Linked DNA regions of Rattus norvegicus. The protein of the gene in region 1 purifies or fractionates together with the protein of each later gene. This does not show direct contact. Links are inferred from orthologs where the notes say so. Each region holds a gene or a part of one and is shown in the gene's direction. Other genes may lie near its edges.

Evidence for each region.
Region 2: the proteins of Tonsl (region 1) and Asf1b purify together in Homo sapiens (affinity purification with mass spectrometry; 5 studies listed by BioGRID and IntAct, counting the BioPlex papers as one, with this or other methods). This does not show direct contact. The link is inferred for Rattus norvegicus from reciprocal best matches to the Homo sapiens genes TONSL and ASF1B.
Region 3: the proteins of Tonsl (region 1) and Ssrp1 purify together in Homo sapiens (affinity purification with mass spectrometry; 5 studies listed by BioGRID and IntAct, counting the BioPlex papers as one, with this or other methods). This does not show direct contact. The link is inferred for Rattus norvegicus from reciprocal best matches to the Homo sapiens genes TONSL and SSRP1.

Annotation. Positions count from the first base shown.
Region 1 is NC_086025.1:110,226,088-110,228,840, reverse strand, and holds the end of Tonsl (tonsoku-like protein), read left to right. Parts: coding exon of another isoform or gene 1-5; exon of another isoform or gene 6-95; intron 96-1,888; coding exon 1,889-2,070; 3' UTR 2,071-2,145; downstream 2,146-2,753. UniProt on the Homo sapiens protein: Component of the MMS22L-TONSL complex, a complex that promotes homologous recombination-mediated repair of double-strand breaks (DSBs) at stalled or collapsed replication forks.
Region 2 is NC_086037.1:41,090,216-41,093,867, reverse strand, and holds part of Asf1b (histone chaperone ASF1B), read left to right. Parts: intron 1-3,415; coding exon 3,416-3,531; intron 3,532-3,652. UniProt on the Homo sapiens protein: Histone chaperone that facilitates histone deposition and histone exchange and removal during nucleosome assembly and disassembly. Cooperates with chromatin assembly factor 1 (CAF-1) to promote replication-dependent chromatin assembly.
Region 3 is NC_086021.1:90,530,391-90,534,142, forward strand, and holds the start of Ssrp1 (FACT complex subunit SSRP1), read left to right. Parts: upstream 1-1,092; 5' UTR 1,093-1,260; coding exon of another isoform or gene 1,261-1,385; coding exon 1,386-1,439; intron 1,440-1,860; coding exon 1,861-2,046; intron 2,047-3,014; coding exon 3,015-3,120; intron 3,121-3,373; coding exon 3,374-3,564; intron 3,565-3,667; coding exon 3,668-3,752. Other genes in the region: P2rx3 (P2X purinoceptor 3), read right to left, coding at 429-440. UniProt on the Homo sapiens protein: Component of the FACT complex, a general chromatin factor that acts to reorganize nucleosomes. The FACT complex is involved in multiple processes that require DNA as a template such as mRNA elongation, DNA replication and DNA repair.

The DNA of each region.
Region 1 (2,753 bases):
ATTGAACTCAGGACCTCTGGAAGAGCAGTCAATGCTCTTAACTACTGAGCCACCTCTCCAGTCCCCCAAAATAAAAATTTCAATGAAAATGAAAAGCATTAAGGGCCTTTCCACAGGTATACTTCGTCATTCCTTTTTAAAAGTTTTATTTGCATTTATTTATTTATTTATTTATTTATTTATTTATTTTTTTGGTTCTTTTTTTCGGAGCTGGGGACCGAACCTAGGGCCTTGCGCTTCCTAGGCAAGCGCTCTACCACTGAGCTAAATCCCCAACCCCGCGCTTATTTTTAAAAACTAATTTCTTTTATAAAAATTTAGGTTTTCCTGTATGTCTGTACACAATGTGTATGTCTGGCACCTCTAGCGCTGGAGTTTCTGGTGACTGAGTTACCATGTAGGGGCTGGAAACCCAACGAGGTCCTCTGCGAGAGCAGAGCTGTCAGCCGTCTCCAGATCCAGTTTACATTTATTTAACTCCTGTGGCACGATTTTTGTTTCTTCAGGTTTTTGTTGTGTTGTTTTGTTTTCAGACAGGGTTTCTCTGTGTATGCCTAGCAGCCCTGGAACTCACTGTGTAAACCAGAATGGCCTTGAACTCATAGAGATCTGCCTGCCTCTGATCCCTGAGCGCTGGGGCTAACGGTGTGCGCCACCACCGCCCGGCTCTTTCTTTGGGATACCTTTTCTTCTGTGCAGACTCCTCTTTTGGCTAGGAACAGTTTGTTCCTCTTCAGTGAGCATCATCTTACTGAGGCAGGGGGAACTCATGGGTTAGTCCACCATGAACTCTGTAAGTTCAACAGTGTTCCTTTGGGGGTTGGGGATTTAGCTCAGTGGTAGAGCGCTTGCCTAGGAAGCGCAAGGCCCTGGGTTCGGTCCCCAGCTCCGAAAAAAAGAAAAGAAAAGAAAAAAAAAAAAAAAAACAGTGTTCTTTTGCTTCGTGAATAGAGAGAATCTATACCCAAACCCTGTAAATTCATCAAAACCAGCACTCTGGGGGCCACTGGCTGACTGTCTGGCCTGGTGAAAATCTCCCAACTCCACCCTTATAGACCTCTGGAACAGCACTCTGCTTCTTTAAAGTGGCATTTTTCAGATACACATGCATGCCCTCACAGCCTAGGCTGCACCACAGGAATTCAAGATTTGAACCTCTTTTAGTCCTGGCTATTCTGGAACTCTGTAATGGTTCCTGTCTACCTGGAGAGTACTGAGATTAAAGGTGGGTGCCACCAGGGCAGGCATGATTTGGACCTCTTGATTTGCATATTGTGGGGTTTTCTGGGTCAAGAGAGCACATCATCATCACTTACAGGAGCCTTCTTTCCTCATTCTTGTGAGCCGGAAGCCACTCAAAATAATGCAAGCTCCACCAAAGGGGTGCTCGCTCTCTCAACCCCCCCACCCCCCCACCCCACCCCCCACACACTCAGACAGTACCTACTAATAAGGTAACTTGTTCTGTTGCACTAAAGCATTCTCCACCTTAGAGGTGTACCTGATGGCCTGGCCTGGCTTTGCCTTGCCCATCTGAGATTTGAGAGTGGCAGGCTGTGCCCTTGGAGGATAAAGGCTGAACACAGGGGAGCTCCTGGGTTTCTCCTGTACCTTACCCCCTCCGTCCAACACATTGGTATTTCTGGTATCTGTGTCCTTTTATCCAGTTCCATGATATATGTATCCTTGAGCCTACTGGGATCTCTGGCTTGATGATCAAAGTCCTGGCATTCAGTAGCCTCCAGAGATCCATGGGCCCATGGTACAGATATATTGATTGAGTCCTTTTTATGATGGGACAAACCCAAACGTAGACTCTGAGGTACAACATGAGCACTATGCCTCCTGTGGGTGTGCAAGTTAAACCTACGTCCTCTCACCCCCACAGGCTGCTCCATTCAGGGGCCCCTGAACTCTGACCTCTGGGACAAGATCCTCTCGCAGTTGCAGGAGCTGCAGTTGTGCAGCAAAGACCTGACCACAAAAGACCGAGACACCCTGTGTCAGAGACTGCCGGCGGGTGCGTGCACACTGAACCAAGGTTCCAAGCTCTTCTTTAAATGCCTCTGACCCTGGCCCTGCCGTTTCTGCCAAAAAAAAAAAAAAGAAAAAAAAAAACCTTAATAAATTATGCTGCTATCTCATTCCTGTGGCTGACTACAAAAAGGGTGGGCGATGTGAGGCTTAAAAGCCTTGAGGGGCTGGGTTGGGGATTTGGCTCAGTGGTAGAGCGCTTGCCTAGCAAGCGCAAGGCCCTGGGTTCGGTCCCCAGCTCCGGGCGGGGGGGAAGCCTTGAGGGGCGGAGCTACTCCAGAGCGCAAGCTCAGGCAAAGAAGTTGAGTGCCGACCTACGGATTGGGCTTGCTATGTGCGTAGGCTCAAGTTGGAGAATGAGCGCCGAGCTGCCGATCGGGTTTCCCGGCAGGCGCAGGCGGAAAAAGCGAGCACCGAGCTTCTGTCGCCATCTCCGGGACTCCAAACGCCCCAGGTACACAGCGGCAGTGGGCGGGTCCCCTCCTCGTGGGAACCCTTGGGCTAGGTGTCTCGGTCCCTTCTCCTTTAGGGCTCTGCGGCCCTTGCCGCGCGGCCAGTGTCTCAGGCGATGGGCGCTGTCAGGTGGCTTTTCTGGTTCACAGCTCAGGTTCCCCTGACTGAGGGTACCCACCTTTCTTCTGTGACTCTGCCGGCTGTTCCTAGCTCCTGAGACCTCAGTAGCTCTGGCTCTTCATCAGGCCACTCCATCCCAATTTGCC
Region 2 (3,652 bases), on another chromosome or scaffold:
CTAAAAGCTGAGTATATTCTGAAGTGAAATCTTTAGTTTCTCTCTGTTCAAAATACTGCATTCCAGTGTGAGGAAATGGCTCAGGAAGGACCTGAGTTTGAATGTTCAACACTCAGGTACAAGCAGGGGATTGCAAAAGGTATAGATGAATGGATCCCAAGGGTGCACTGGCTACCAATCTCACCAACCAAATAAGCTCCGGATTCAGTGAGAGACACACATGGGTGCACTCTTGTAATTCCAATACTTGGAAGGCTTGCAGGTATGTTAAAGTCCTGGACTAGCCTACATTACAAAGGAAGACTGTATTAGTTGTTCCTGTGTTTTTACATATGTGTATGTATGTGCTAGTGCTTGCAGAGGTCAGAGAACAGCCTGCTGGAATTGGCTCTCCTTCCACCATATGTATTTTGGAGATTGAGCTAGGTCTTTATATTTTGTGCCTTAACCCTCAGAGCCATTTCTCAAACCCAACTCTGTCATTTTTTTTAAAGTTATGTCTCACAAGCTGAGATTAAAGATATATCCAGTGCAATTCTGTCTTTTAAAGGAAGAAACTATGAGAAAAACTTAAAATTTAAAATTATTGCACCTTATTTCACCATCTATTTCTATAGATTTGATCAGCTCTGACTGTAGCCAGTCCGTATTTTATGTGGTCTTTTGTGAATTCTCTGGTCTGTTTCAGGCCCATGTCAAGACGGGGCTCACCATCTGCTGGCTTCTAGTGTACACTACAGTGTTTTAAAAGGTTTTGCCAAAGGTATTGACCTAGACTAAGCAATGTTGGGTGCCTTGGGGACACAGGGAATATTCTGTGTCAAACTCTTTTTTGCCTGGCATTCCCTCCAACACATTGATTAAGTGTACAAATATGTGACACCATGGGGCTTGGGGGAAGGGCCCTGAGGAAAGTAAAGCTTGACAGAGTCATCTCAGCAAGTGAGATCAAGCAAGAGTCACATACTTCTCTGTCCTTCCAGAATCACTGATTCTAGAGTGTCAGTTTTTATACAACTAGATCCATGGGTCTGGGAGCACGGCTCAGATGTACAGCACTTTTTTGGCATGCGCCCTAAGTTCCATCACCAGCACTCCTCAGAAATAAACAGCTGGGGACAGCTAGAAAGAGTGCTCTACAGTTAGACCACTGATTACTCTCCCAAAGAACCCAGGTTTAGTTCCCAGCACCCACATAGTTGTTAACTACTTCTATCTTAATGGGGCAACGCATCTTTTTTTTTTTTTTTTTTTGTAAGATTTATTTATTTCATGTATGTGAATACACTGTAGCTGTCCTCAGACACACCAGAAGAGGGCATCGGATCCCATTACAGATGGTTGTGAGCCACCATGTGGATGCTGGGAATTGAACTCAGGACCTCTGGAAAAGCAGTCAGTGCTCTTAACCACTGAGCCGTCTCCAATGCACTTTTCATCCAGGGAATTTGAAATTTCAATTTGGGTTATAAGTAAGTTCTTACCCCTCGTTGGTTTGCCAAATGTTGTGGTAAATATTATTTTGGGGATTTCTATCTGACTTAGATCATAGTTTTCAAATAAAAGACAAAATCCTTTACATTTATAATAAGCTTTAAGGGCTGGAGAGATGGCTTAGTGGTTAAGGGCACCGACTGCTCTTCCCGAGGTCCTGAGTTCAAATCCCAGCGACCACATGGTGGCTCACAACCATCTGTAATGAGATCTGATGCCCTCTTCTGGTGTGTCTGAAGACAGCTACAGTGTACTCATATATATAATAAATAAATAAAATATTATAATAAGCTTTAAACTGTTAGAGCTAGGCAGATATCAACCTTTTATGTTTTGTCTACTTCGCTGTTAATAACTGAGAACTTGCCATGTTCTGCCTGGGTCACTCCTACTCCAATAGGCAGGCAGCCCTCATGGTCATGCACTCGTGATCCACCTACCTCATGATAACTTATTTCTTCTCTCACTGTGGTGCCTGCCTGATACCCCAGTCCCAGGACCTGAAGCCCCGCCTACTTCTCTTCTGCTCTACATACTCTAGGCATCTTTACTAACCAATCAGGGATATCTTGGGGAACAAGGTTTACACAACAAAGGCTGGTTGGTATAAGTGAAGGCTTGTCGTGGAGCAGCCAGATCTTGGATACAGGAGTTAGCATTTGAATACAATTAGCACTAGACCAACCCACTACAGTACCTCTAGTTCCAGAGACCCAACACCATCTTCTGGCCGCTGAGCCCAGGCACCAAAGGGTGCAAAGACAGACATGCAGGCAAACACCCCATGCACATAAAATAAAAGGGGATGCACATAAGAAAATAAAGCTTAAAAAATGAAATACCTAATAATTTCCCCAAAATGCTGAGGCTGGAGTTTGAACCTGGTGAACCGTGGGCATGGGGTCACCAGAAAGATCTGGGTGAACGTGTGAAGGAACAAGGGAATAGATGTATAAAGGAGAGCTTTATGATCCAGGTGACAAACTCCACATATGATCTGTGTGCTTCCAGTGTGTTGGATGCCTGCACCACACTGGACCAAGAGCAGGCAGCTTCCAAGAGTTCTCTGAAAATCTCAGCTTGTGCAACTTTTCCCAGCTGCTGGAGCTAGGGGTTGTGTAATTTCAAAGAGCCTAAAATAAGTTCTGGGTCTGATGCCAAGCTTCTCTGTACTAGCATGACCTTGCTCCTGGTAATACTTGGCCCCCCTACAAGAGGCTATGAGTACCAGGGCTCTCCTAAGATCAGTGGGAAGGGTCTCCAGGTACTTTTTCTTTCATCTCTTGTGGGTATACTCCAGGACCAAGCCCCCTTAGTGATGGAGTACAGAGTCAGGTTTGGAGGGATGCCTTATCACACACCATTTGCTGGCAGAGCCTCTGTCCCACAATGTGCACAAGTAGGCATGAGTCGGTGCCAGATGTGGACAAGTTTGGGACAAGTTGGTTCCCCCCGCAGCTTTGCCTTTCTCCTCCTGCCACCTGGCTGTCCTGCTGGATTGGAATCTGCCACCCTGCCCCAGTTATCGAGGGATCTGCTCTACTAGGGTGGCACCAACCCTTCTGTGAAAGAGGATGGCACTTCCTACCCAGAGACCAGGGCAGCCTAACTCCCTGCTGTTCCCTCACAAGCCTTGTCACAGGACTCTTGGATCAGTCTCTGCTCTATGCTTCCTCTCAGCTACTGAGAGGCCTAAGTTTCCCTGGAGGGCCAGAGTCAAGGTCACTTGGCAGAATTAGGAAAAAAATGTCTCCATTAAAGTGGATCTTCATTTTGCTCTAATTCAGGACTGTGGTGCCAGGGCCTATTGCCCAGCAGTTATAGGACCTTCTAGTATATTCAGATTCACCTGATGCTGACAAAAAGACCTTGCTCTCAGCAGTGTCAGTCCTCAACTCCCTTATCCCCCATGTTCTTGCAGACCTTGAGTGGAAGATCATTTATGTGGGCTCAGCTGAGAGCGAGGAGTTTGATCAGATCCTAGACTCAGTGCTGGTGGGCCCTGTTCCTGCAGGAAGGCATATGTTCGTCTTTCAGGTAAGTAGGCTTTGCCTGAGCCCTTGATTTCCAGAAATGTTTCAGGCTGGAGACGGAGCCAGGGCCTGACATACTAGACGTGTACTCCACTATTGAGCCACACCCAAGCCTAGAGCCTTCC
Region 3 (3,752 bases), on another chromosome or scaffold:
AGATGCACTCTGGTGCTATGTGAGGCCATCCAGGCTTCTGCCAACGCAGGCTGATGTGATTTCAAGTAAGTTCTAGCTCAAAGGTAAATCTGACACCACCACTTGAACTTAATGCAGCCATCTGCTGGGCTCTTCCTGAGAACCCACAAATTAGGGATATGGATGGGATGGTGTTGGGGGTGGAAGGTGAACTCATTTCAGAAAGGATCTCATCTGCTTGCCAGGGTACAGCTGGAAAGCAAGCACAATCACCGACACCCGCATTCCCTTTGCAGCTAGCGGAGGCGACATTTCTGGCCACAGCTCTGTATTTTTATTTTTTATTTACTTATTTACTTATTTATTTATTTATTTTTTGGTTCAACAGACTCCTTCCCAGATTATTCACAGGAGGGAGGAACCTGCATGATTCCAACAAACATACAAACCTGAAACCGCATAATTTCCCCTCGGAATCTAGTCTTTGAAGAGCAGCCTGTAACTTTCTAAGAAGCGATCCCGTTTTCTAATCAAGAAATCAGCCTCGTGGGATCCCGTAGCAAGACCCTCGCTTTAGACGACCAGGGGCACCGACGCTCTAGGCGACAGTCCCGTTGGTCGGCCCGGATGGTGCCTTTCTAGCCAGGTCTTCCTCTCTATGGTTTGTGCGCGACTTCCGGTGGCGGGACGCGGAACCGCGCACGCGGGAAAAGGTTCCCCGGCACCCCCTCCCCCGTATCCCTATCCCCTCCCCTGCGTCCCCCTGCGCCCACCGCCCTCACTGTGTCGTCGCGAGGCTGCAGTTCGAAGAGGTGGGTGGTCGCGATTCCCGGGCTCCGGGTGTGCATGGGCCCTGCTCCCCCGCGGGACGATTGGGATGGATCGATCCGCGTTCAAATTCGCGGGCAGTGGGCGAATCCATTTTAAAAGAAGGGGGAGAAACGTAGATTCACGGGGGCCTCGGGGTGGTGGGATCGCTGCGATCAGGACACTACCCTCTGAGCGGAGTTGAGGTGCGCTCTCTGAGCCGGTCCCAGGTTCCGCCGATTGTTGCGGTGCCTGTCGGTGGAACGTACCGAGAGGGTGTCGGGTTGAGATGTAAGTGCCACTATAGGCCTGGCTCTGCACCTAGGGTCCTGGGCCTTGGCCTCAGGAGCGCTGCAGAGCCGGTCAGTAAGATTCCCAGGCAGTAGAGAACTTGAGATATTCCAGGCACAGCTACTCATGGGTGATCGGAGTAAGGTGTCGTTTCTTGCTTATCAGTCTCCTTCCCGAATTCAGATTCACACCCTGCTGAACATCTCTACACACCTAACCAGGAATTGGGACCCAGCATCCAGATAAGGGTTCGTTTTTCTCTGGTGCAGCTTAGGGCTGTGTGCTCAGAACACCACGGGCAGGTGAACATGGCAGAGACATTGGAGTTCAACGACATCTTCCAGGAGGTGAAAGGGTCCATGGTGAGAATGACTTGGGCTTTTAATAAAGGCAGAGATGGGAAAGAGTTCTTGTTTTATTAACAAAAAGCTTAACTCTGACTACTCTTTTAGAAACAGTGTATCAGTGTCCGCCAAGCGAAAACATCCGCAAAGTCTCAAGAGTTACATGATACTGAGTTTGAAGAGATTGCATGTGTAGTTCTATCCTAAATCCCTGTGTTAAAAAACCGGGAACTGGAGCCCTTACAGGGTTTCTGACACTAGAGCCAAGCTTTCAAGACTGAAAATCTTAATGTCTCTTGTGTCTTTTGACTTGATTTCACCACAACCTGTTGCCTTTTTATTGATAAAATGGCCAGCCTGTATTATTGTATGGATAAGGGGTTGAAAGGACCCGCTTCGTGTGTATCCTGTTCTGATTTTGGGTCTGTATTTTGGGCAGAATGATGGGAGGCTTCGATTGAGCCGTCAGGGTATCATCTTTAAGAACAGCAAGACGGGCAAAGTGGACAACATCCAGGCCGGGGAGTTGACCGAAGGCATCTGGCGTCGGGTAGCATTAGGCCATGGACTTAAACTGCTCACAAAGAATGGGCATGTCTACAAGTATGATGGCTTCCGTGAATCGGTGAGCAGTCTTGTTCTGTGACCCCCTCTCTTTGTGACTGCCTTGTCTTGTTTATTTTAATCTTCTAGAGACAGTTTCTGTTCCTCTGATAATCATGTCATTGTTCATTTGGGTTCCTCAGAGCAGGGCGGTTGGAGACTATTGAACAAGAAAACCAGTGTTTTCTATATTCAGTACCCGTGTCTTGTGCCTAGACTCCAGAAGGTTTTTTACCACCTTAATTTAGGTGGTGGTTTCCACTTGCTCCTTCTGTCCTGGTTCAGAAATTCTAGCTTGGTGCTCTAGGATTTTGCTTTTCCATTTTGAGCTGCTTTTGAGTTACTTGGTTTTAATATCCACTTTTATCAAAAGATCACCTATACAAAGTTTAGAAACTCAGTAAGGTCATACACGTATCTGGGAATTTAACTTTCTTTACTACACTTAGCCAGAGACCCCAGAAACAAAAGGTTTTTGTTGTTGCTGTTGTTAAAAAAATTTTTCATTCATTAAAAATTATTTATTTTATGTGCATGAGGCTTTGCTAGCATGCAAACCTGTGCACCATGTGCATGCCTGGTGTCCGCAGAGCTCAGAGGAAGGCATTGGATCAACTGGAACTAGAGTTACAGACAGTTGTGAACCACTGTGGGGTGCTGAGAATGACTCCAAGGTCTTATATCAGAAAAAGTTCCCTTAACTGCTAGGCCATCAGGTCTCTAGCACTTAAAGGGTTTTAAGCATAAAGGTTAAGAGAAAAGGCTTGAAAGAAGGACATCCCTGAGAGTAGGGCTGAGAGCATCTGGGTTCTAGAAACTGCCTCTAGTAACAAAGTAAAAGTGTTTTAAAATGTTTTCAGAGTCGGTATACTTAGTTAGCTGTAGTTTCTGAGGAAGACACATTGGTGAACTGAGCTACAGAATCTCAGGACATTTGTGTTAAGGCCCAGAGGTTTAACTGGGACCGCACTTTCTCCTTTTGATTTACAGGAATTTGAGAAGCTCTCTGACTTTTTCAAAACCCACTATCGCCTTGAGCTGATGGAGAAGGATCTCTGTGTGAAGGGCTGGAACTGGGGGACAGTGAAATTTGGTGGTGAGTGAGGGAGATTGAGCTTTGGGGAGAAGGTGGGGTGAAGAAGGGCCTCAGACAGTACCTTTCTTTACTCTTTCCTTGGCTCTAATTTCTTAATTTCAGTCTGTGTGTTTAGCATGGATTTGTCCAGCATGCACGGTCCACCAGACACTGTGCCTGGCTTTGGTAGTTCCTCCAGTCCTCTGTCTTGGTGGGACTGCTTCTGTCGACTCTTGGGGAGGAGCTTGCGATTTGACAAGCTCTTTCCTCACAGGGCAGCTGCTTTCTTTTGACATTGGTGATCAACCAGTCTTTGAGATACCCCTAAGCAATGTGTCCCAGTGTACAACAGGCAAGAATGAGGTGACCCTGGAATTCCACCAGAACGATGATGCTGAAGTATCTCTCATGGAGGTGCGCTTCTATGTCCCTCCCACGCAGGAAGATGGAGTGGACCCTGTGGAGGTAAGGCTTCTGTATATTGGGCTGCTGGACATTGCCGAGTATACTTTGGCCGGCTCGCCTGGGAGCAGAGGCTGGCTGTTTGAATACCCATGTGTGTTCATAGGCCTTTGCCCAGAATGTCCTGTCAAAGGCAGATGTGATCCAGGCCACTGGAGATGCCATCTGCATCTTCCGGGAGCTGCAGTGTT